2 linked regions of the Stegostoma tigrinum genome follow. The protein of the gene in region 1 interacts with the protein of each later gene in a biochemical or structural test. Links are inferred from orthologs where the notes say so. Each region holds a gene or a part of one and is shown in the gene's direction. Other genes may lie near its edges.

Region 1 (11,313 bases):
TGAGTGAGTTTATTAATTATTAAATGTGAGAAGTAATAACACATACACACAGATTAGAAATGAGAGGTGAGTCCACAAAAAATGTTGGAAAAGATATTCATATCAGTCTCTGAAAAGCAGACCCTGGGATATTATCTCCAATACATTCATTGATACCAGTGACCTGATGCTGGAAGGTGAGCAGTTTGTTCTGAAATGTTTGATTTTGCACAAAAACAGAAGTTGCTGGCAAAGTTCAGCAGGTCTAGCAGACCTGAGGAAGGGTCACCAGACCCAAAAGTTTAACTCTGATTTTTTCTTCACAGATGTTGCAACTTCTGTTTTTGTTCCTGATTTACAGTTCTTTTGGCTTTTGCTTGATTTTGGAGATTCGCTGGAACTCATTTTGCTCATCATTTTACTTATTTTTTGGCTTCCAGCACAGAAAGAGAAACTTAGATAACACGGTGTGAAGCTGGATGAACACAGCAGGCCAAGCCGCATCGGAGGAGCAGGAAAGCTTGAGGTTTCAGGTTGGGACCCTTCTTCAGAAAGATAAACTTATATTCTTTTTACCTACATTGCAGGCGCAGCTTAGCTATGAATCTTACAGCACACACATTCACCCTGTTATAATCTATTTGTGAAAGGAAGATTGAAACATGAGTTCTGCAACTTCTAGGACTATCATAAAAGTTAAAGTTTTAATTATATTTATCAACATCACTAGTTCACTTGGCTGACAAACCATGTTCATAGATAAAATTGACTAGATTTCTGTACTTAACAAGGTTGTTAATAAATTATTGTTTATTTCTAATAATTGAGTTTAAGCAGGCAAACAAAATATGACTTATAACCTAGAACACCCAAACTTAAACTATACCCCTCCTTAAACTTTCAGACAATATGTAGTCAGAAATAGATAAGCAAAAATAAAATGTTACGGATGGTGGAGGGCATAAAAAAAACACAGTTTAATAGCATGTGTCCACGGAATTGAACAAAGTGCCCTTTTGCTTCTTCCAAACCCTTCTAATCTCTGATCTGCTTTTTCTAAGTTCCTTCATTTCTTTACTGAAGCCATAGGGCAGTTGGCAAGTTAATTGTTCAGTTTTTCTGCCACTGATTAGAGGCAGCAGCTTATGGGGAAATAGTGACTAAGGATAGTCCGCGATCTACCAATTTTTTGTTACTTCTCTTCAAGGAAAGAGGGGATGTTATCTTAGAGTCAGAAGGTTTTCTGTCTCTGTATTGTTGACACATTGGCTTTCATCTGTTCAGAAGCCAGGCGGTTTTTGCTATGCTGAGCTTTCCAGACTCTCATAACTGGCCCTGATTATAAAAGCATCTGCAGCCTGTTTCTTGTTTTTCTCCCATCACATGTCACAAATTATTCACCTGCATCTGATAGTGCATAAAATAAACTTTGCTTCTGGTTTAGCTTTATCATAGTGTTATTCTGGTCCTTTTAAAGTCAAAGTCCACAACAGAGGGAGTGTGGGAAATATATTCTGCTATTTAAAATAAGGAGTAAATTAAATTACATTCTGCCTCTAGAGAGATGGCAAATATTGGTAAGTATACATTTGTTTGAAAAATTCACCATTCGTCCACACAGAAATTTGGCATTCCATCCAGATTGGATCAAACAAGGTATGCTAAAAATTTAGCCAAAGGGTACAAAATATGAGTAAAGTCTAAATACCTGTATATGAAACAGACTAAAATAAACTGATTGGCAGCGTAAGCATTTAAATTGGACAGACAAAATGGTTTGTAAAACAAATTGACTGCAACAAAACTTTATTACTTTAAGATTAATGAAAGGCATATTTTGATTCAAAAACATTCTTAGATCAAGATAACTGCTGAAATGTTAGCTATACTAAGCATAGACCACTAGAAGACTGTAGCTAGATGATTAGAAGTGAAATTGCACAGCAACATAAACCAAAAGGACACCCTTAAGCTGCTAGCTGAGCACAAGGACATAGTCCCATTCCAGAGCAGCTGGATGAAAAATTGATTTTTGAAGTAGCCCTATCCCCTGTGACCGGCACAGAGTTGGCAATACTCAGATTGCAGCTGGAGGTTTGGGAGAGATAAAGGGAGAAAGCAAGAAGGAATGAGGTTCTGAAATGGAATTATGGCTCAGTGAAAACTTAAGTAAACAGACGGAATTAGGGAAAATCCTCTCCACTCAGATGCAGACCAAATGTGCCTTCCCCAGAAACAAGCTTTGAAGTCCTAAAATATTCTTGATTCATTCCTAAATATGGAGTAGAATATGTGGACTCTTTTTACAGGACTTTTAAAGAGGCAGTGCTTTGCAGTTACAGTGGTCATGAATTTTTGTAATTCAGGGTGAGTTAACAGGAAAGGCCCAAAAGGTCCCCTAAATGACCCCTTCTTGTAGCAAGGAGACCAGAATTGCACATGATATTCCGAAAGTGGTCGAACCAATGTCTTACACAGTTGCAGAATGACCTCCCACCTCCTATACTCAATGCACTGTTTTAACTTTATGTAGTAACCATAGAAACTGGGAGCAACAGTCGACTCCCTTGTTCGCTCCACACTGCCCTCCAACCCCACCACACCCGGCACCTTCCCCTGCAACCGCAGGAAATGCTACACTTGTCCCCACACCTCCTCCCTCACCCCCATCCCAGGCCCCAAGATGACATTCCACATTAAGCAGAGGTTCACCTGCACATCTGCCAATGTGGTATACTGCATCCACTGTACCCGGTGCGGCTTCCTCTACATTGGGGAAACCAAGCGGAGGCTTGGGGATCGCTTTGCAGAACACCTCCGCTCAGTTCGCAACAAACAACTGCACCTCCCAGTCGCAAACCATTTCCACTCCCCCTCCCATTCTCTTGATGACATGTCCATCATGGGCCTCCTGCACTGCCACAATGATGCCACCCGAAGGTTGCAGGAACAGCAACTCATATTCCGCCTGGGAACCCTGCAGCCATATGGTATCAATGTGGACTTCACCAGTTTCAAAATCTCCCCTTCCCCCACTGCATCCCTAAACCAGCCCAGTTCATCCCCTCCCCCCACTGCACCACACAACCAGCCCAGCTCTTCCCCCCCACCCACTGCATCCCAAAACCAGTCCAACCTGTCTCTGCCTCCCTAACCGGTTCTTCCTCTCACCCATCCCTTCCTCCCACCCCAAGCCGCACCCCCAGCTACCTACTAACCTCATCCCACCTCCTTGACCTGTCCGTCTTCCCTGGACTGACCTATCCCCTCCCTACCTCCCCATCTACACCCTCTCCACCTATCTTCTTTACTCTCCATCTTCGGTCCGCCTCCCCCTCTCTCCCTATTTATTCTAGTTCCCTCCCCCCATCCCCCTCTCTGATGAAGGGTCTAGGCCCGAAACGTCAGCTTTTGTGCTCCTGAGATGCTGCTTGGCCTGCTGTGTTCATCCAGCCTCACATTTTATTATCTTGGAATCTCCAGCATCTGCAGTTCCCATTATCTCTGCAACAGTCGGCCATTTGGCTCTTCATGCCTGGTTTGCTATTCAATATGTACATGATGTGGAGTTGCCAGACTGGGGTGGACAAAATCAGAGATTACATGACACCAGGTTATAGTCCAACAGGTTTATTTGAAAATACAAGGTTGTGTTTTCAAATCATCCTGTTGGACTATAACCTGGTGTCTTGTGAATTCTGAAAATATAATCATGTCTTATCCTTTATTTCAAAGCCAAATTTCTGCTTTGTCCCCATATCTCTCAGTGCTTTTTAAATCTAAAAAACTTACTTATCTCTTTCTTGAAAATGTTCAGTGACTTGGTTTCTACAGCCTTCTGTAGTCGAGAATGCTACAGTTTCACTAGTCTTTCAGTGAAGAAATATTTCCTCATTGTGGTCCTAAAAGGCTTACCTGTTTACTGAGACTGTGGCCCTTGGTTGCAAACACCTCACCTTCCCTGCATCTACACATTTCAGTCAGATCCCCTCTCATCTTTCTCGGCTCTGACGAATACAGGCCCAATCAAACAAAGTTTTCCTCAAAGAACAGTCCTTTAATCCACAGTACCAGCCAAGCGAGCCTCCGCTGAAGTCCTTCCATGGCAACTATATCCTTTCTTAGCTAGGGTGACCAAAACTGCATGCAATACTTCAGATGTGTTCTCACCAAGGCCCCTATAACAGCAAAAGGGCAGCTCTACATCTGAATTCAAATTCTCTTTGCAATGAAGGCATATTATTTGCCATCCTAATTGTTTGCTGCACCTGCCTGTTTACTTTTATTTACTAATGTACAGGAACACATGGATCCCTTTACATGTCTGCATTTCTCAATATATCACCACCCAAATAATAATCTGCCTTTCTGTTTTTCACACTGAAGTGTTCACCTTCTCATTTACCCAAATTATATTGCAACTTCCATGCGTTTGCCTACTCACTCAATTTATCTAAACTGTCTTGAAGCATCCTTGTATCCACTCACCATTCGCAATCCTGCCTAGTTTTATATCTTCAGAAAATTTGGAAATGTTCCTGTTACATCATGATAACTGGGGTCCAAGCATTGATCCTTGCAGTAGCTTGCTTATCTGCCACTTGGAAAAAGATACATTTATTCCCACTCTCTGTTTTGTGACTTTCGATCAATTGTCAATCCAACTCAATATATTACTCCCAGTTCCATATGTTTTAGTTTTGTCCACAAACGTCTTATTTGGGAGATCATCAAAAGCCTTCCAAAAATTTAAGTATGCCACATCCACTGGTTCTCCTTTGTCTATTCTTCTTGCTACTTTCTCAAAAAAATCCAGTAGATTTGTTAAGCGTAATTTACTCTTCATAAACCTTTTCTCAAATACAGTTCATGCTTTACAATTTTTTTATCATGTACTTCATAGTGGACTATAACATTTTCCTTACTCTTGATGTTAGGTAAATTGACCTGTAGTTCTGTGTTTTTCTCTCCCGTCCATTTTGATCAGTGGGGATGGCATTTAACACCCTCCAATATGTTGCTCCAGAGTCTTCGAATTTTGAAAGATGACAACCAATTCATCCAATATTTCTAGGGCCAATTGCTTTAGTACTTTGGGATGTACATTATCAGATGCTAATAATTTGTTAGCCTTTAACTCCATCAATTTCCTGAAAAACAGTTTGTTACTAATGCTGATTTCCTCCAATTCCTCCCTTTCACTAGACCCCTGTTTCTGTAACATTTCTGGCAAGTTATTTATGCACTCTTTTACCACAACACTACTACAAAGTCTGAGTTCACTAATACTGTGGAATAAAACAATAAAAAAGGGAAAAATGTAATAACTATTTTCTTATCAATTGTGAGAAGAGGGAAGATTTATTTTAAAACTTGCAATCTGTCCATAAGAAAACTGCATTTAGCTAGCATCGGTATTACAATATTTAGAACAGCGATTTGAAACAGCAATAATCATATTGTAAAAACCAGCAATTTCGATTTATATATTTTATACAAAGAAAAAGCACCACCTGTGAACTGTATTTAAAATGATCAAACTGAAGTCATCACGTTTCGTTTCTTCCATATTTCCACACCAGTATGGAACTCTGAACTGTGTAGCCCGCTCCTTTAAATACACGAAGATTAAATATTTCATGTACAGAAAGGAAACTAAAAACTCATATTGTCCTTCTTTAAAGATTCTCGTAGAAATGCTTATAAAATTATATTTAAGTTAATGATACAAAAGGTTCTGGATCCTAACATTTCCCACCCCAGTGCCTGGCAGACTTCACAAGACCAGCGCTTCAAACAAAGAACTGCGGATGCTGGAAATCAGAAACAAAGACAGAAATTGCTGGAAAAAAATGAGCTCAGCAGGTCTGACAGCATCCGTGGAGAGAAATCTGAGTTAACATTTTCGGTCCAGAGACCCTTCTCTAGAACAAGCACTAAGATGGTCAATGAACACAGTTAAATGTATGAAAACTAATATTGCGGGGTCTTTGTGAGTGAGTGTATACCCGGATCCTCTGAAAGGTCAGTTTTTGTTTGAAATGGAAACTTACTCTTTTCATAAAGCTCTGCATTGCAGAAATCAATTCAAACCAGTGCCGATTAACCCTCAAGGAATATCATCCGAAAGACGGGGTTGTTTCATTGTTGCCTGTAGACGTCAGAAGTGATGCGAAGTTCCATGTCCTTATAACGGCGGCAGTGCCTCAAGGCTTTGGAAATACCTGGCGCAGTGGCTGATCGCGGCGTATTCTCCCTCTCCCTGCCCACTCCGCTTGGGAGCAGTTTATACACTGGGAGCCAAAGGCTGGATTGGATGGAACAGTCTGACTGAAGAACAGTTCTCAAGGACTGAAGACTGACGTCCAAACTCAATTATTAAGAAAAGTACAGTGTCGCTGATTACTGGATCCAAATCCAGTTGACAACCAGGACTAGGAATATCAACATCACTGCGCGGACTCCGTTCATGTGGAAGCGGGGGAAAGGGTACTTTGCTGCTTTGAGAAGGGTGGAAATATTCAGGCTTTCTAATCGTGAATCCCTCCTTGTCAACGGTGAGTCTTTAGAGCACATATAAAAGGTAACAGTTTTACCCAACTCAGGGCAAAACATCTGTTCGGTAATAAGACTGATATAAAAGATTCCCAGTTTTATGATATCGAACTATAAGTTTGAGATAAGCTACAAAGTTGACGGGTTTAAAAACGATGACAGCTTGATTTAACCGTGCTTTCGGATATTCACGGACTTTCATTTAGTCTTGGACGGGAGGGAAAGGAATAATGCAACTTTCACCCAGTCAGCAGCAATTCCCCAAAAACTGTTCTCAGATGGCTTCGTTGAAGAATCGGAGCGCGTTTCTCCAAACCATCTACCAGTACTTCTGCAACGCAACCTTCGAAAAGCAGAACCTCAGCTGGAATAGCACCATCCCGGAGGACTTTTTCATGAGCAAAGAGGAGCTGCTGTTGAAGTATCTGGGTCCCAGGAGATCGTCCTTTTTCGTGCCAGTCTGTTTGATTTATCTCTGCATCTTTGTGGTCGGCGCTTTTGGAAATGCACTAACCTGCATCGTTATAGCGAAGCACAAAGTGATGAGAACCCCTACGAATTATTATTTATTCAGCCTGGCCATTTCCGATCTCTTGGTGCTGATTCTGGGCATGCCGTTGGAACTCTATGAAATGTGGAGGAATTACCCGTTTCTCCTCGGTCAAGCGGGATGTCACTTTAAAACCTTCCTTTTTGAGACGGTTTGCTTTGCCTCAATACTAAACGTGACGGCCCTCAGTGTTGAGAGATACATCGCCGTCGTGCATCCCCTGAAAGCAAAGTATGTTGTGACCAGAGCTCACGCCAAACGTGTCATCTTAACGGTGTGGCTGATTTCCCTCTGCTCAGCCATCCCCAACACCCACCTGCACGGCATCTATTATCTGAGTACCCCGTTTGGGGAACACATTGAAGAGTCCGCTATCTGCGTGCTATTAAAGCCAGCCTGGATGTACAGTCTCATCATTCAGATCACCACGGTGCTGTTTTTCTTCGTCCCGATGATCATTATTAGTATGCTGTACTTACTGATTGGATTGCAACTGAAGCGAGAGGAGGTAATTTCTGACTTCAAACCAGGATTGGGAAATGCCAACTACCAAACGGCCCGCATGGAGCAAGAGAAGGTCAGGAGGAGCCAAGTAACCAAAATGCTCAGTAAGTTTAAAAAAATGCACATTGTTACGAAAGACTCCCAGTTGAGGTTCCTCAATTTGTCACAGTTCCAGGGAATCTCTCCATGCTCCCAGGTGAGGTGGGGTGAACTGGCTCTGCATTACACCCATCCCGTTGGGTTGGTTACGACAAGGTTAAGTTAAAAATGGACCTCTTCCTCTGTGGGTTTCATTCACTCACACCCAAATGTTTTAAAATAAACAAAAGGACTCATTCCTTTGGTTAATTCAGGAAAAAAAAAGAACTGGCTAAATTGACTCCTTTCAAAGCATAAGTTAATTTGAGTCTGGGAGACAGGGGAAAGGACTCCGTCTTGAAATGAACATGGTTGCAGCCAACCAAAAGGATGGGTGAGTAAGAAAGGGGCTGGTCCATACTTCTTCACCGGGGAGCCAAACAGTTTGGGATATTCTTCTAGGACTAAACAAGTTGGGGAACCTCAGCCAGGATCCTGTCATAACAAACTAGGGGCTTTTACTGCAGTTTGAAACAACAGATGAAACGTAAGAAATAGAGTGGTAACTTACCACTTTGAAACCAATTGTTAAAAAAAACTGCAAAGGGCTTTATTGAGTTTGCAGTTCCACACACTATTGAAATGTCCGCCTTCAATCACAGTTAGTTAAGTTAGGGTAAGTTAGTTTCGAAGATTTAAATGTTCTGTCCCTTAAGCAGTTAAAAGATTGAGGGACACACTCAGGGTTAGAATTTTACCCTAAGTCAGAAACTCCAAAATTTTAGAAGGAATAGCCAATAATTTACAGACGGAAACTGAGGATGAAGCGATAGATGATGATTATCAGGAGAAAGGGTAAAATCAGAGCAGTGTGAATTAGAGTTTTAAGAAAAGGAAAAGCAACTAGAAAGAGGATTGGGGCAATACAGGCATGGACTATTCTCGAAATGGTGAGAAAATTCACAAAGCAGAAGTACAAAGGGACCTGGGAGAGTTGGTCCAGGATTCTCGAAAGGTTAACTTGCAGGTAGAGTCCGTGATTAAGAAAGCGAATGTAATGTTGTCGTTTATCTCAAGAGGGTTGGAATATAAAAGCAGCGATGTGCTTCTGAGGCTTTATAAAGCTCTAGTTAGGCCCCATTTAGAATACTGTGTCCAATTTTGGGCCCCACACCTCAGGAAGGACATACTAGCCCTGGAGCATGTCCAGCGGAGTTTCACACGGATGATCCCTGGAATTGTAGGTTTAACATATGATGAATAGCTAAGGATCCTGGGATTGTACTCATTAGAGTTTAGAAGGTTGAGGGGAGATCTAATAGAAACTTACAAGATAAAGTGTGGCTTAGAAGGGGTGGACGCTAGGAAGTTGCTTCCGTTAGGCAGGGAGACTAGGACCCATGGGCACAGCCTTAAAATTAGAGGGGGTAAATTTAAAACTGAAATGAGACGACATTTCTTCAGCCAGAGAGTGGTTGGCTTGTGGAATTCATTGCCATGGAGTGCAGTGGAGTTCAGGACGTTGGATGCCTTCAAGGCAGAGATCGACAAATTCTTGATCTCACAAGGAATCAAGGGCTATGGGGAGAGTGCAGGGAAGTGGAGTTGAAATGCCCATCAGCCATGATTTAAATGGCGGAGTGGACTTGATGGGCCAAATGGCCTAACTTCCACTCCTATGCCTTATGGTCTTATGGTCTAAGACAGCAAAGAGTAAGGAGAGAAGAAAGTTTATCGAAAAACCTGCAAGAAAAGAGTATCAATTAAGACAGTTGAAATTGAAAAAAAGACTGGAATCTTACTGCATCGCATGAAGTTACTATTGGCCAAGACTTGAGGGTGAGGCAACTCAGTTAGTCATTTAATTCCTAGCTTTGAGGAGGCAGAGATTGAAACTACCTTAGAAGACTTGACAGGATAGATACAAAAAGGATGTTTCCTCTTATGGGAGAGTCCTGGACCAAAGGACATAATCTCAGAATGAGGGTTTGCACATGTAGGACAAAGATGAGGAGGAATTTTTACTCTCTGACAGTAGTGAACCTATGAAATTCTTTCCAGCAGAGAGCTGTAGAGCTTGGTTCATTAAGTATATTCAAGTCTGAGATAGATTTTGAATCAGTAAGGGAACCAATGGTTATGGGGAAAAGGCAGGAAACTAGAGTTGAGAACTATCAAATCAGCCATGATCTCATTGAACAGCAGAACATACTCAGTTGGCTGAGTGGCCTTCTTCTGCAGCCACAACTTATGGTGTAAAGGTGGGAAAAGTGATGGACAATTGAGCCCATAATGGAAAAAATGGAAATACAGGGGGCCTTCGTGAGGACAGAAATGATAGTGCTAAGTTGAACGGTGAGGGTAAGAAGCTGATGTGTTTTCTTTGATGCAAGACAGGGCATGGTTGGACCAATTGTTGAATGCTATGGGAAAATCTAGTGGGATTTATCAGAGTGCATGTGCAATGCACAGAGAATGGGGTTCAGTCAGACAGCATATCAGGCCAGGCTATAACTCGGACTTCAACTATAAATCCCTGTGACAGCATTCCTGAGAGTGTGAATTCGGTTAAACAAATTCCTGAAATTTATTGGGACTTTGTATCTTATGCAGGAGTGGTCACATTTTCACAGGTAGAGGCAAACAGCCTACAGAAATATCAAAGGGATGCTGAGGCCAGCCAAACTCTACTGCTGGAAAAGGGCATGACCTTCCTACAAGAGAGGACAGTTAATGCCAAAGTGCTGGTAGGAGAGATTAACAGAGGGTGCATTCTCATCCCCCTTTACTGGGCGCCTATGGTGTGTGACCTTGTGTCAAGGCCAGTGACCACAAGTGTCATCCCTGATGTGGTTGTGGATGGGACTGACCTGCTTCTCAGCAATTACTTGATGGGATGAAAGGTAATAACATTCTCAGTGGTCTCTGAGAAGCCATTTGAGGTCAGGGAGACAAACACACTGTAGACACCAAGGAATGACATTTTTTTCTGTCAGCATGGTCATGCCAGCTATGGGTAGACAAGCTCAGCCACTGGAGGCTGAAGAGGCATTACAAGTGGAAGATTCTCCTGTTTGATGATCCCAAACAACTACCCAACAAGTTGACCACTATTGAAATCACTGGCTCAGACTGCTCACACTCAATCTGCGGCAGATGCAGTCTCAGAACGTGACTGGATTAAAAGTGTGCCAACAATGTGAAAAATAGCCCAGCTATGTCCTGTCTATATAAAGAAAAATAAATCCAATCTGGTCATTTACTGTCTCATCAGTTTACACTCAATCATTAGCAAAGCAATATGAGGTGTTATTAATGGTGCTGTCAAGAAAAACCCCCTCAAAAACAACCTGCTCAATAATGCTCAGTTTAGATTACATCAAGCTCATCTAGTTCCAGACCTCATCACTGTCTTGGTACAAACATGACAAAAGAGCCATATTCCATAGTAAGATCCATGTGGCAACCTTGAAATAAAAACAAGATTTGACCAAGTGAGGCATTAAGAAGCAGTGACAAAATTGAGGGCAATGGGAGAAAGGAGAAAACTCTCCAGTTATTGAAATCATGCCGAGCAATAAGGATGAGGACAGTGGTTGACAATGAACCCAGCCTCAGGATATCACTTCAGAACTTCCCAAGGTATT
Region 2 (10,986 bases), on another chromosome or scaffold:
CTGCTGAATTAGATCCTAGAAGGTTATATAATAACAACACTAGCAATGTGTAAAGATGTCTTAATTTCTCTGAATGTGTTCCAGAATCTATTAATCCTACGACAAAGTAAAATACCAAAAACATTCCTGTTTTACGTTTGACACAGGGAAGATGAGAGACGTCTCGAAGTAGAATCTCCCAACAGCCACGCAGTAGAATGAGCACACACAAAAACAGAAATTGCTGGAGAAATTCAACAGGACTAACAGTGGAGAGAAAACAGAGTTAATGTTTCAAGTCCAGTCACCGTGCTTGCTGGGGACACAATAGGATCTAATGCAAACTAAAGGGGTAACAATTGCCATCCTCTAAATACATCACAAACTCTCATTTTACTAGAGATACATAACCACAAAAATGGTCACACCTTCTAATCAACACACAAGTTATTCATTCTGGGTACTGTTGTAACAGTTCGCAAAGCAAACAGTATCATGTAGACACATGCATGAGAACTAACATGTGAGCTCCCTCCACTCACACTTCCGCAGATTGCAAATCTGTGCACAGGCGTTTTGTCTATGGGAGGAAGTGCATAGCTAGAATGTCATTGACTAATAATCCAGTAAATTTCGGCCAATAGACTGGGAATATCGGCTCAACTCCCATCACAGATGTTTTTTGGGATTTAAAGTGAATTAATAAATATAGAACTTAAAAAAAAATGGTGGCCATGAAATTGCTGTTGTAAAAGCCTACCTGTTTCACGAAGGTACATCTGCTGTAGTCTGGCCAACATGTGATTCCAGACCATGAGCAACTATTAATACTATTAATACTACAAAGTCCCACTTTTTGAGATATGGGTGCTTGCACTTCCCAAAATTTGGAAAGCTGTGCCATAGATAAGTCAACCAACAGCCTGACAAAGGCATCCACACCATTGTACTTACAGATGATGGGATGGAATCTTGTAGTTCACCTGGGGTGTTCAGTAGCGTGCAAGGGAAAACTAAATTGGGTATGAGGCCAAACTTCAGATTCCCAATATCAATTTAAAGCTTTGGAAGTAAGTTCTCTGAAACTTTTAGGCAACCTTCTTGATCATAATGGTAAAAAATCTCTTTCAGATTCATTAGCATATCATAAATATTCTTTACACCCAGCCCAATGGTGTTTTATTCATAATTGTAATCTTATTAGTCAGTAGTAAGAAAAACATGAGTTCATATTTCTTACCATGTTTGTACTCGTTGGCATTCAACCTTCTCAACTCCAGGACATTTCTGCAGGAGTCCATCAGGATAGTGTCTACGCGCAACCATCTTCAATTACTTCATCAACCAATTTCCCTCCATTAAGGTCAGAAGTGGGGATGTTTACACAATACTCAGCACCATTCACAACTTCTCAGCTACTGAATCAGCCAGTCTTACATGCAACAAGACCAGGGCAACCTTCAGATTTGGGATTTTTAAAAATCCCTTGTGGGAGTGGACGTCACTGGCTGGCCAGCAATTTTATTGATTATTTCTAGTTGCCCTTGAGAAGATGTTGGAGAGCTATCTTCTTGAATTGCTGCAATCCGCACACTGTTGGGTTGACCCTCAATATCATTGGGGATCAAATTCCAAGATTCTGACCCAGCAACAATGAAGGAACAACAATATATTTCTAAGCCAGGATGGTGAGTGGTTTGGAGGGGAACTTGCAGTTGGTGGTGTTCCCATGTATCTTCTGCCCTTGTTCTTCTACATGGAAGTGAATGCTGAGATTGGACGGTGCTGTTTAAGGATTTTTGATGCTTTGCTGCAGTGCATCTTGTAGACAGTACTCTGCTGCTACTGAATGTCAGTGGTGGAGAGAGTGGATGCTTGTGGATGTAGTACCAATCAAGCAAGCTGCTTTGTCCTGGATGGTGTGAAGTTTCTTGAGTGTTGTTAGGGCTACACTCATCAGGCAAGTGGGGACTATTCCATCAGGTTCCTGGCTTGTGCTGTGTAGGTGGTGGACAGGCTTTGAGGAGTCAGGAGATGAGTTACTTGTTGTGGTATTCCTAGTCTCATCACAAGGATAATAAGTGGCAAGTAACATTTTCCTTCTCTTTTCGCTTTCCAGGATGCGAAAAAAAAACATTCCAATAATAGTTATAAACCAGTAGATGGGAGAGTGAGTGGAACTCAGTGAAAATACAAATCTACAGGGAAGTGGTACTGAGCAAACTGACGGAACTGTGAGCTAACAAGTTCTCAGTTCCTGATGGATTTCATCTTCAGCTGTTAAAAGAAGTTATGAGTAAGGTAGTAGATGCATTGGTGTTAATGTGGCAACATTTTCAAGATTCTGGAATGGTGCCATCAAACTGTAAAGTAGCAAATATAATCAATCTAGTCAAGAGGGGAGAACATAAAAAACAACATGTTTGGCTTGACATTTGTTGAGCAGAAGGCATTAGAATTGATCACAAAGAAGGTTATTACTGCACACTTCAAGAAAATCAAGGCAATGTGTTGGAGTCAGTATTGATTTGTGAAAGGAAAATCATGTTTAACCAGTTTATCTGAGTTATATGAACATGTTTGTGGAGAAAGGGGAGTCTGTGGACTTCTGGGTTTCTAGAAGGCACTTGTGAAGGGGCCATGTGAAATGCTATTGCACAGAGCAGGGACTCAAAGTGTAGAGGGTTACATGTTAGCATGGAGAGAAGACTAGCTGGCTCACAGAAAACAGAGATTACTCATAAATGGGGGATAGCAAGAACTGCAGATACTGGAGTCAGACAACACAGTGTGGTCCTGGAAGAACACAGCAGGCCAGGCAGCATCAGAGGAGCAGGAATGAAATTTCAATTGCCTGCTGTGTTCTTCCAGCTTCACACTGTATTTACTCATGAATGTGTCTTTTTTTCAGATTGGCAGGATCTGGCAAGTGGAGTCCCACAGGGATCTATTTTGTGGTCTCCGCTTTTACAATTTATATCAATGACTTTAATGAAGGGCATAAAGACATGGTTGTTAATCTTACAGATGACACAAGCATAGGTAGGAATGTATATTCCTAAGGCGATATATGGAGGATGCAGATCGATATAAATAGGTTGAGTGAATGGATAAACATCTAACTGATGGACTGTAATCTGAGAATATGTGAAGTTGTTCTCTTTTTATTTAAAGAGAAAATGAGTTACAAGTTCTGGGTATTCTCGTGTGTGAATTACAAGAAGTTAGTATGCAGGTGCAGCAAGTAATGAGGGCTAATGGAATGCTGTTCTTTATTACAAGCTAAATTGAACACATAAGTAAAAATGTTGCTTTAGTTTTACAGGGAACTGGAGAGACTACAATTCAAACATTGTATACAGTTTTAGTAATAATGGGAACTGCAGATGCTGGAGAATCTGAGATAATGAAGTGTGGAGCTGGATGAACACAGCAGGCCAAGCAGCACCTTAGGAGCACAAAAGCTGCCATTTCGGGTTATACCCTTTATCAGAAAAGGGGGAGGGGGAGAGGATTCTGAAAGAAATAGGGCGAGGGGGGAGGTGGACTGAAGATGGGTAGAGGAGAAGATAGGTGGAGAGGAGACAGACAATTTAAGGAGGCGGGGATGGAGCCAGTAGAGGTGAGTGTAGGTGGGGAGTTAGGGAGGGGATAGGTCAGTCTGAGGAGACAGACAGGTCAAGAAGGCAGGATGATGTTAGTAGGTAGGAAGTGGGGGTGCGGCTTGAGGTGGGAGGAGGGGATAGGTGAGAGGAAGAACAAGTTAGGGAGGCGGGGATGAACTGGGCTGGTTTGGGATGCTGTAGGGGGAGAGGAGATTTTGAAATTTATGAAATACACATTGATACCATTGGGCTGCAGGGTTCCCAAGCGGAATATGAGTCGTTGTTCCTGCAACCTTCCGGTGGCATCATTGTGGCACTGCAGGAGGCCCATGATGGACATGTCGCCTGAGGAATGGGAGGGGGAGTGGAAATGGTTTGCGACTGGGAGGTGCAGTTGTTTATTGTGAACTGAGCGGAGGTGTTCTGCAAAGCGGTCCCCAAGCCTCCGCTTGGTTTCCCCAATGTAGAGGAAGCCACAACGGGTACAGTAGATGCAGTATACCACATTGGCAGATGTGCAGGTGAACATCTGCTTGATGTGGAAAGTCTTCTTGGGGCCTGGGATGGGGGTGAGGGAGGAGGTGTGGGGGCAGGTGTAGCACTTCCTGCAGTTGCAGGGGAAAGTGCCGGGTGTGGTGGGGTTGGAGGGACCACTTTGCAGAACACTACACTCGGTTCGCAATAAACAACTGCACCTCCCAGTCGCGAACCATTTCAACTCCCCCTCCCATTCCTCAGATGACATGTCCATCCTGGACCTCCCGCAGTGCCACAACGTTGCCACCTGAAGGTTGCAGGAACAACAACTCATATTCCGCTTGGGAACCCTGCAGCCCAATGATATCAATGTGGATTTCACAAGCTTCAAAATCTCCCCTCCCCCTACTGCATTCCAAATCCAGCCCAGCTTGTCCCCAACTCCCTAACCTAAGCCACACCCCTATTTCCTACCTACTAACCTCATTCTGACCCCATGACCTGTCCATCCTCCCCGGACTGACCTATCCCCTCCCTACCTCACAACCTACACTCACCTCTACAGGCTCCATCCCCGCCTCTTTAACTTGTTTGTCTCCTCTCCACCATCTTCTCCTCTATCCATCTTCAATCCACCTCCACCTCTCTCCATATTTATTTTAGAACCCTCTCCCCCTCCCCCTTTTCTGATGAAGGGTCTGGGCCCAAAATGTCAGCTTTTGTGCTCTTAAGATGCTGCTTGGCCTGCTGTGTTCATCCAGCTCCACACTTTGTTATACAGTTTTAGCCTCCTTATTTGATGAAGGATGTATTGGTGGTGGTTCAGAGGAGGTTTGTTAGATTGGAATGAGCAGTTTTATGTGGATAGTGGTGCAGGCAGGTTCAATTGAAACATTCGAGGCCATTGCAGGTTGTGGGGGAAATGTAGGAGATTGGCAGTGGGTAATGAAGCTCATTTTCAGAGCTGGTGTAAGCATGATGGGCCGAATGGCTTCCTCTTGCGCCATGGTAATTCTGTGTTCCTGTCATTGTCCAACTACTATCTTTTATCGGAACGTCTGAGCCCCTGGTCAACGGCTGAACATTGGTGGTGAGAGCAGAGAGAGTGGAACCCTAACGGTCGATGCTTAAAGTTCGAGGAATGTTTGGGAAAGGAGTTAATATGTCAGTTTCAAGCAGGAAGGCAGCGAGAAACCAGCTGGTATATCCCTTACTCAGTAACTGTCTTCAGCGTTCATGGACACTGGAATTGTAAGGTTTTTCAAACAACTGTAGGTCAAAGCGAAGGAACGCTGGCTGAATTGATCAGAGAACGAGACCCGGAAAATAGCCAGGCAAGCCAACTTTATGAAATGAGGCGGAATGTGCACAAGACGAGCATGAACGGGTCCGATTTTAACTCTGCGCTAGTGAGTGGCTTTTAAATGAGACAAAGCCTTGTCCACCTACAGAAATGCCTCAAATATCCCCCAGCTATCAGCTGGAGCGAAGGGTTGGAGGAGGGGGTAGCTGCTCTTTGCTTTTGACTGGGAACCAGAAAGGAAAAGGGAGTTGCCGAGGATATTGATCGAAGCTGAACTTCTTCAAAGTCAGAAGGAGAGTGAATGCCAGCACATGGTGTATCTGTCTCACCGTGTCCTGAAGACTCATGACGTTTGGACATGTCGATACTGACGTGGGGACTGTTTTTAAGAGTGGAGATGCACAAGCAGTGAAAGTTTACCAGGATCTGAGTTGCCTAGTTAAGATCGTGTGGACCAGGCATGCTGGGTTTCAATCTCTGTCAGTGCCGGGGAGGAGCAAGAGCGCCGCGGAGACGCAGTATGAAGCACCCTCACTGCATGCTCGCACTTTCACTGTTCCTGCTCTCCAGCTCGTGTTTCTCACAAGGTACCAGTGTTAACTTTCAACCTCTCCGCCTCCTCCTCTCCTTTCTTCTTTCCTCGTCATATTTCTGCCAATATTGTCTTACTTGTTTCCAGTAAAAATGTTATTTTTTTACAATTCTTTTAAGCTTTGTTTTTTTTTCTATTCTTTTAGTCGCTTGTCGTTTTACCCCGTGTGAAAAAAGTCAATGATCGTTAATTTCACTGCTAAGTTGAAAAGGAAGCGTTTGGTTTATTTATACAAATAAACAACGACGACCTCGACATATGTAATCACATTGCTTAAGAAAGTGCAATCTTGTACAATGTTTAATGTCTATTAAGATTTGTGATACTGGCCGCGGTCCCTGAGATCTCTGCAGACTAGATAACCTCCCAGATAAAAATAGAAAATTTCGTTTTTCCCTGCTTTTGTAGAGTTTGACATTGATACGCCTTGAGATGATCTTTCAATAGTTTCACCAATGAGCTAATGTTGGAATTGAAGTGAAACTCTTTTCATCAGCCTGGTTCAGGGAATATCCAGGAGTCCCTGCTCTGTGTTCTGAGAGTTGATCTTTGGATAGTGTGTGATGGTTTTTAGCTGAAATGTTAGCAAGGTTGAAAAGTGCAAATGAACAGCGCAGAAAATTAGCATTGATGCCTGGCTGTTCAAATAGATATAGTAAATAGTGTGTTTTGGAAGATTAAAAAATTCATTAAATTCATCAAAAAAACTCATTAAAAATATTAAATCCTCTTACAAAATAATATCCTTATTTTCCCTTATAACCTGTCCTGCAGGTCCACTTAAGTTCTGTGATTTGGGATGGAGTATGTCGGAAAAAAATGGACATTTATTTCTTTATTAATATTCCAATTACATTTCTGTAACATCTCAAATGTTTTATTGAGATTAGTCCTCATCTTCATTAGAGAATGAATCTAATTTGCTCTTAGGAAAGCAATGAAGCTGATTATTACAACAGAAGTCCAATATAATGATGTAGCTGAGGACAGAGACACTGCAACTTTGCATATTTACTTAACAGGAAAGAAATGTTTACTTTATTCAATGCCATTGATTCTTGGCATTCATAAATGCTGATTCAATTCAAATAAAATGGGACATACTATAGGATAGCTATTCTTACTTAGTGTTATATTCCTTACGGCTGGGTAGAGCATTTGAAAAGTGTACAGGTAGACAATAAACATGTAATAAAGACAGAGCTTTGCTTAGTACTAGGATCATAAAACTTGTTTGTTAAGGTATTACTTGCATGTTTAGAGTTATGAACTGTGATATACAGAGGGAAATGATTATACTATTGCATGGAATAGGAAAAAAATTAAACTAGGGCATTATTGAATTGAAGTGATCTTAGAATGATGTTTCAGTATATTGCTGATTCAATAAAAATATTAAAGCAAAATTACAAACAAATTACAAGATAACATGACAATGAAAGTGTAAAATGAAAACTGCAATTTCCAATCACTATTATACACAATCATTTTTATTATACTATTTGAGTTGTGTTAAACATTTAATATTTTGATTTTACTAGAAACCTACGTGATAGTTACTTTCATCTTCTTCACCCAAAATTAAAACATCTTTTTTCAGTTTTACATGATACACAACAAATCAAAACAAGCTGTTATATTTATATCTGTTCTTTTATTATCCTTTGCTATAAAAGTGGGAAAGCATTTCAACTTAACTGTGTTTTTCAAACTAAGTTGAGAAGAAAATCTGTCAAGATTCAGTTTGAGAGCGTAGTCAATCACAAAAAAAAGTTAATGTATGAGCGAAATTCAGTTAAACGTGTGTAAAATTAATGTTTGTTAAGGAGATACTACATTTACTTAGAGCTCTTAAGCAGATCTATTTTTCCCTTCATAGACAGTGGCAATCGATAAAAATATTATTGGACTGAAAGAAATACTTCCCATTTAAACTTGTGAATTGGGTACTTTTAAAAATAAATTGTTTAAGTATGTTATGAATGTCCATAGGAAAGGAATAAAATTAGGGAGAGAATTATTTTGGACGTCTAACTGGGATTTTCCTCTGAATTGCTCTTATTATGTCATCTTGACTTAGTTAGAATTTCATTGAAAGCTTTGATTATACTGCACTTCCTGTGAAATTAAAGCATAAATTGATATTGAAGGTCAAAGCCTAATGCTCCCATATCTCAAAAACCTTACAGGATTCCAATGATTACAAAGAAACCAATCACACATATTTGTACAATTTACAAATGAATGTTGAAATTATTAATTTATGATAGAATAATTTAGTGCTCAGCAAATAGGTCTTTTATTTCAGAATGATTAATACTTAGTTATAACATAAAAGTAACAGGCAAAGAACACATTATTAAACTAACTTATTAGATATACCAAAATGTTGGAGGAAAAAAAGTCACTGCATTCCAGGAAAGGACCATCCTTCCTTTTGTGAGAAATTTCATTGTTACATGCTTCAGGAGAGAACGATCTTTCATACATTCATTCTAATTAAAATCTCATTGGCAGTTTTAGTTTCAAATTGCTAAAATATAATGCAATTTTTATATTTCATATTTTTGTGATAACATGTTTAATAAAAATAAGCATTTGAGTAGTAAACCTAACACTGGATTTCAAGGTGAAGTAATAATAAATTTTAACTGTAGCCTAAACCTACATTTGAACTTGGCCACCTTGTTTCCCAACTTTATAGACGGGTGTTTCGATGGTGAGCAAAGTGGCAACAGAATCCTTCAGGTCAGAGAACTGAAAGCGCAACATTTACTATCTTATAGATGGGTAACTATCTAGAATGTTCAGGATCAAAAGCCTGAGGCAAATGTACAATAATAGTTATAATTCTCAAATTGACCTTTCAGGATGATGTACATTCCTATGTGGTCAGATTATTTTTCAATGCAAGCATGTTATGATCATCTCCTCAAAGAAGTAAAATGTTCTCACCTTGAGGCTATTGTATGTTGTATCCACAATTCACAATGTTTCCTGGGGATTATTTTCATGTAACTTACAAGAAACAAGCCCTTGGCTACCTGTGGTTAAATGGGAAAAAATATAATAGGTGAGCTAGGCAAACCAGAACTAATTCTTGAAATTAATAATCAAAATAAGCATACCAGAAGTCAAATTCATAATCTGTTTTATTAGTGGACACTTATCCAATGTTTATAATCTTTGTAAACGTTTTTCAGTTGCAACATATTTCTTATTAGTTTGATAGATTTCTCCTAAGAATGAAATTACACTATATCTCTTCCTCCACTTCTCTGCTATTCTCCAAAATAGCATTAAAAGATATCTCATTAAGCAAACTTCTTAAGTGTCAAGTGTCCAGATGAATCCTGCTTTGATTCAGTATCAATCTGTGTCTGATTATATATTTTCAAAGTGTTTTCAAATAGTTTACTACACTAGAGGCCATATAAGACTACAAGATGTTGTTATTTTTGAAATCATTGCCAGTCAGTAGCAAGAAACAAAAAATGTTTGGGATAATTTTAATTTTCTCTGACAATGTAAAACTCGTGACATTAGGCCAGTAACCTTGTTCCATCTTATCTTTTATTTCCAATATTATCTTTCACTATTGCCTGTTTTACCCTTTCACACAGAAGCCAAATTAAGCTTAAAAATCATAATAATTTTGTTGTATCAGGATTTGTATAATTGTAATTTCTGGTATATAGTTGGTGCACACAATCTTATGTCTAACCAATTTTGCAGGTGTTCTTGCATCACCTCAGCGGTTTCCAGCAGAACAGAAGCTACGTCTCTGGAGTGAGGTAATTGTAGCCAAACTGAATTTGAATGAAATCAATCAACTAAACCCAGTTTTATCAATGAAAATGTGGAAGCAAGGTATAAAAAATAAATGAGGCGCACTGCAAGAAGTGAAAACTGTTGGTATGGAGGATATGATTATCTGGGAATTATGTTCTACTGGATTTGCCCGATTGAAGAATCACATCTGTAACACATTTGTTTACAGTTCTCAGACAATAAACAATGCCACAGATATGCCAGCTCCATCAAGTACTTCTTAAGTTTTAGCAGCCAGAGAAAATCTTAGAGAAAATGTAAATGTTTTAAAAATAATTATCGTTTTGCGATCAACACACATTTTGTGTATTGAATGTTCTGAGAGATCAAGAAAAATTCAAATATTACTGTTGTACTTTATACATATCCTCCCATAATTTTGTATTTAGCAACATTACACTTACTTATCCAAGTTTTGTCGATGATTAAAAAATCCCACTGACAATCTACACACTGTATGAGTAAAAATCATCAGAAAAATACAATCTAGATAGATAAAATCCCATATATATTCATCAAAAGCATGAGAATCTCAAGAGAGTTGTTTTACACCTTCATGTTAAATAAAATCCATGAAGGTTAGTTTGTTTTTCTAGTTGAGCATTCATTGTATCTCTGTGGACCTATTTTATTTTCATGGAGTCATTGAGGTTTACAGCACAGAAACAGGTCCTTCAGCCCAACTTGTCCGTGTTGACCAGGTTCCCGAAACTGAAATAATCCCATTTGCCTGCTTTTGGCCCACATCCCTCTAAACCTTTCCTATCCATGTACCTGTCAAAATGTCTTCTACCACCTCCTCTTGTTCCATATTGCACCACACTATTTGTGAAAATGTTACACCTCAGGTCCCTTTAAAATCTTTGGCGTCTCACCTTAAACCTGTGCCCTCTAGTTTTGAACTCCTCAACCCTGAATAAGAGTTCTTGGCTATTCACCATATCTACGCCCCTGATGATTTTCTAAGCCTCTGTAAGGTCACCCCTCAGCCTCCCGTGCTATGGTAAGATATTTTTGTGATTTTGTGTACAGTGTATTCAGGATCCAAGTGGCTTCATCCTGTTTCTCTTTCTGAACTTCAGTGCCCATTTCTTGTTGTAGTGCTTTGGAATGTTGCCGAGTTGAATTAAGAGAAGTCCTAGCAGAGGCATGCCTTATTTTCCAATGCTAATATCTGAATTATCTCTTTTAGGTAGATG

Evidence for each region.
Region 2: the proteins of nmur1a (region 1) and nmu form a complex in vitro, tested with the Homo sapiens proteins (2 studies listed by BioGRID). The link is inferred for Stegostoma tigrinum from reciprocal best matches to the Homo sapiens genes NMUR1 and NMU.

What each region holds. Positions count from the first base shown.
Region 1 is NC_081367.1:37,989,492-38,000,804, forward strand, and holds the start of nmur1a (neuromedin-U receptor 1), read left to right. Parts: upstream 1-6,161; 5' UTR 6,162-6,764; coding exon 6,765-7,692; intron 7,693-11,313. UniProt on the Homo sapiens protein: Receptor for the neuromedin-U and neuromedin-S neuropeptides.
Region 2 is NC_081354.1:108,882,233-108,893,218, reverse strand, and holds the start of nmu (neuromedin-U), read left to right. Parts: upstream 1-5,607; 5' UTR 5,608-5,824; coding exon 5,825-5,951; intron 5,952-9,691; coding exon 9,692-9,750; intron 9,751-10,979; coding exon 10,980-10,986.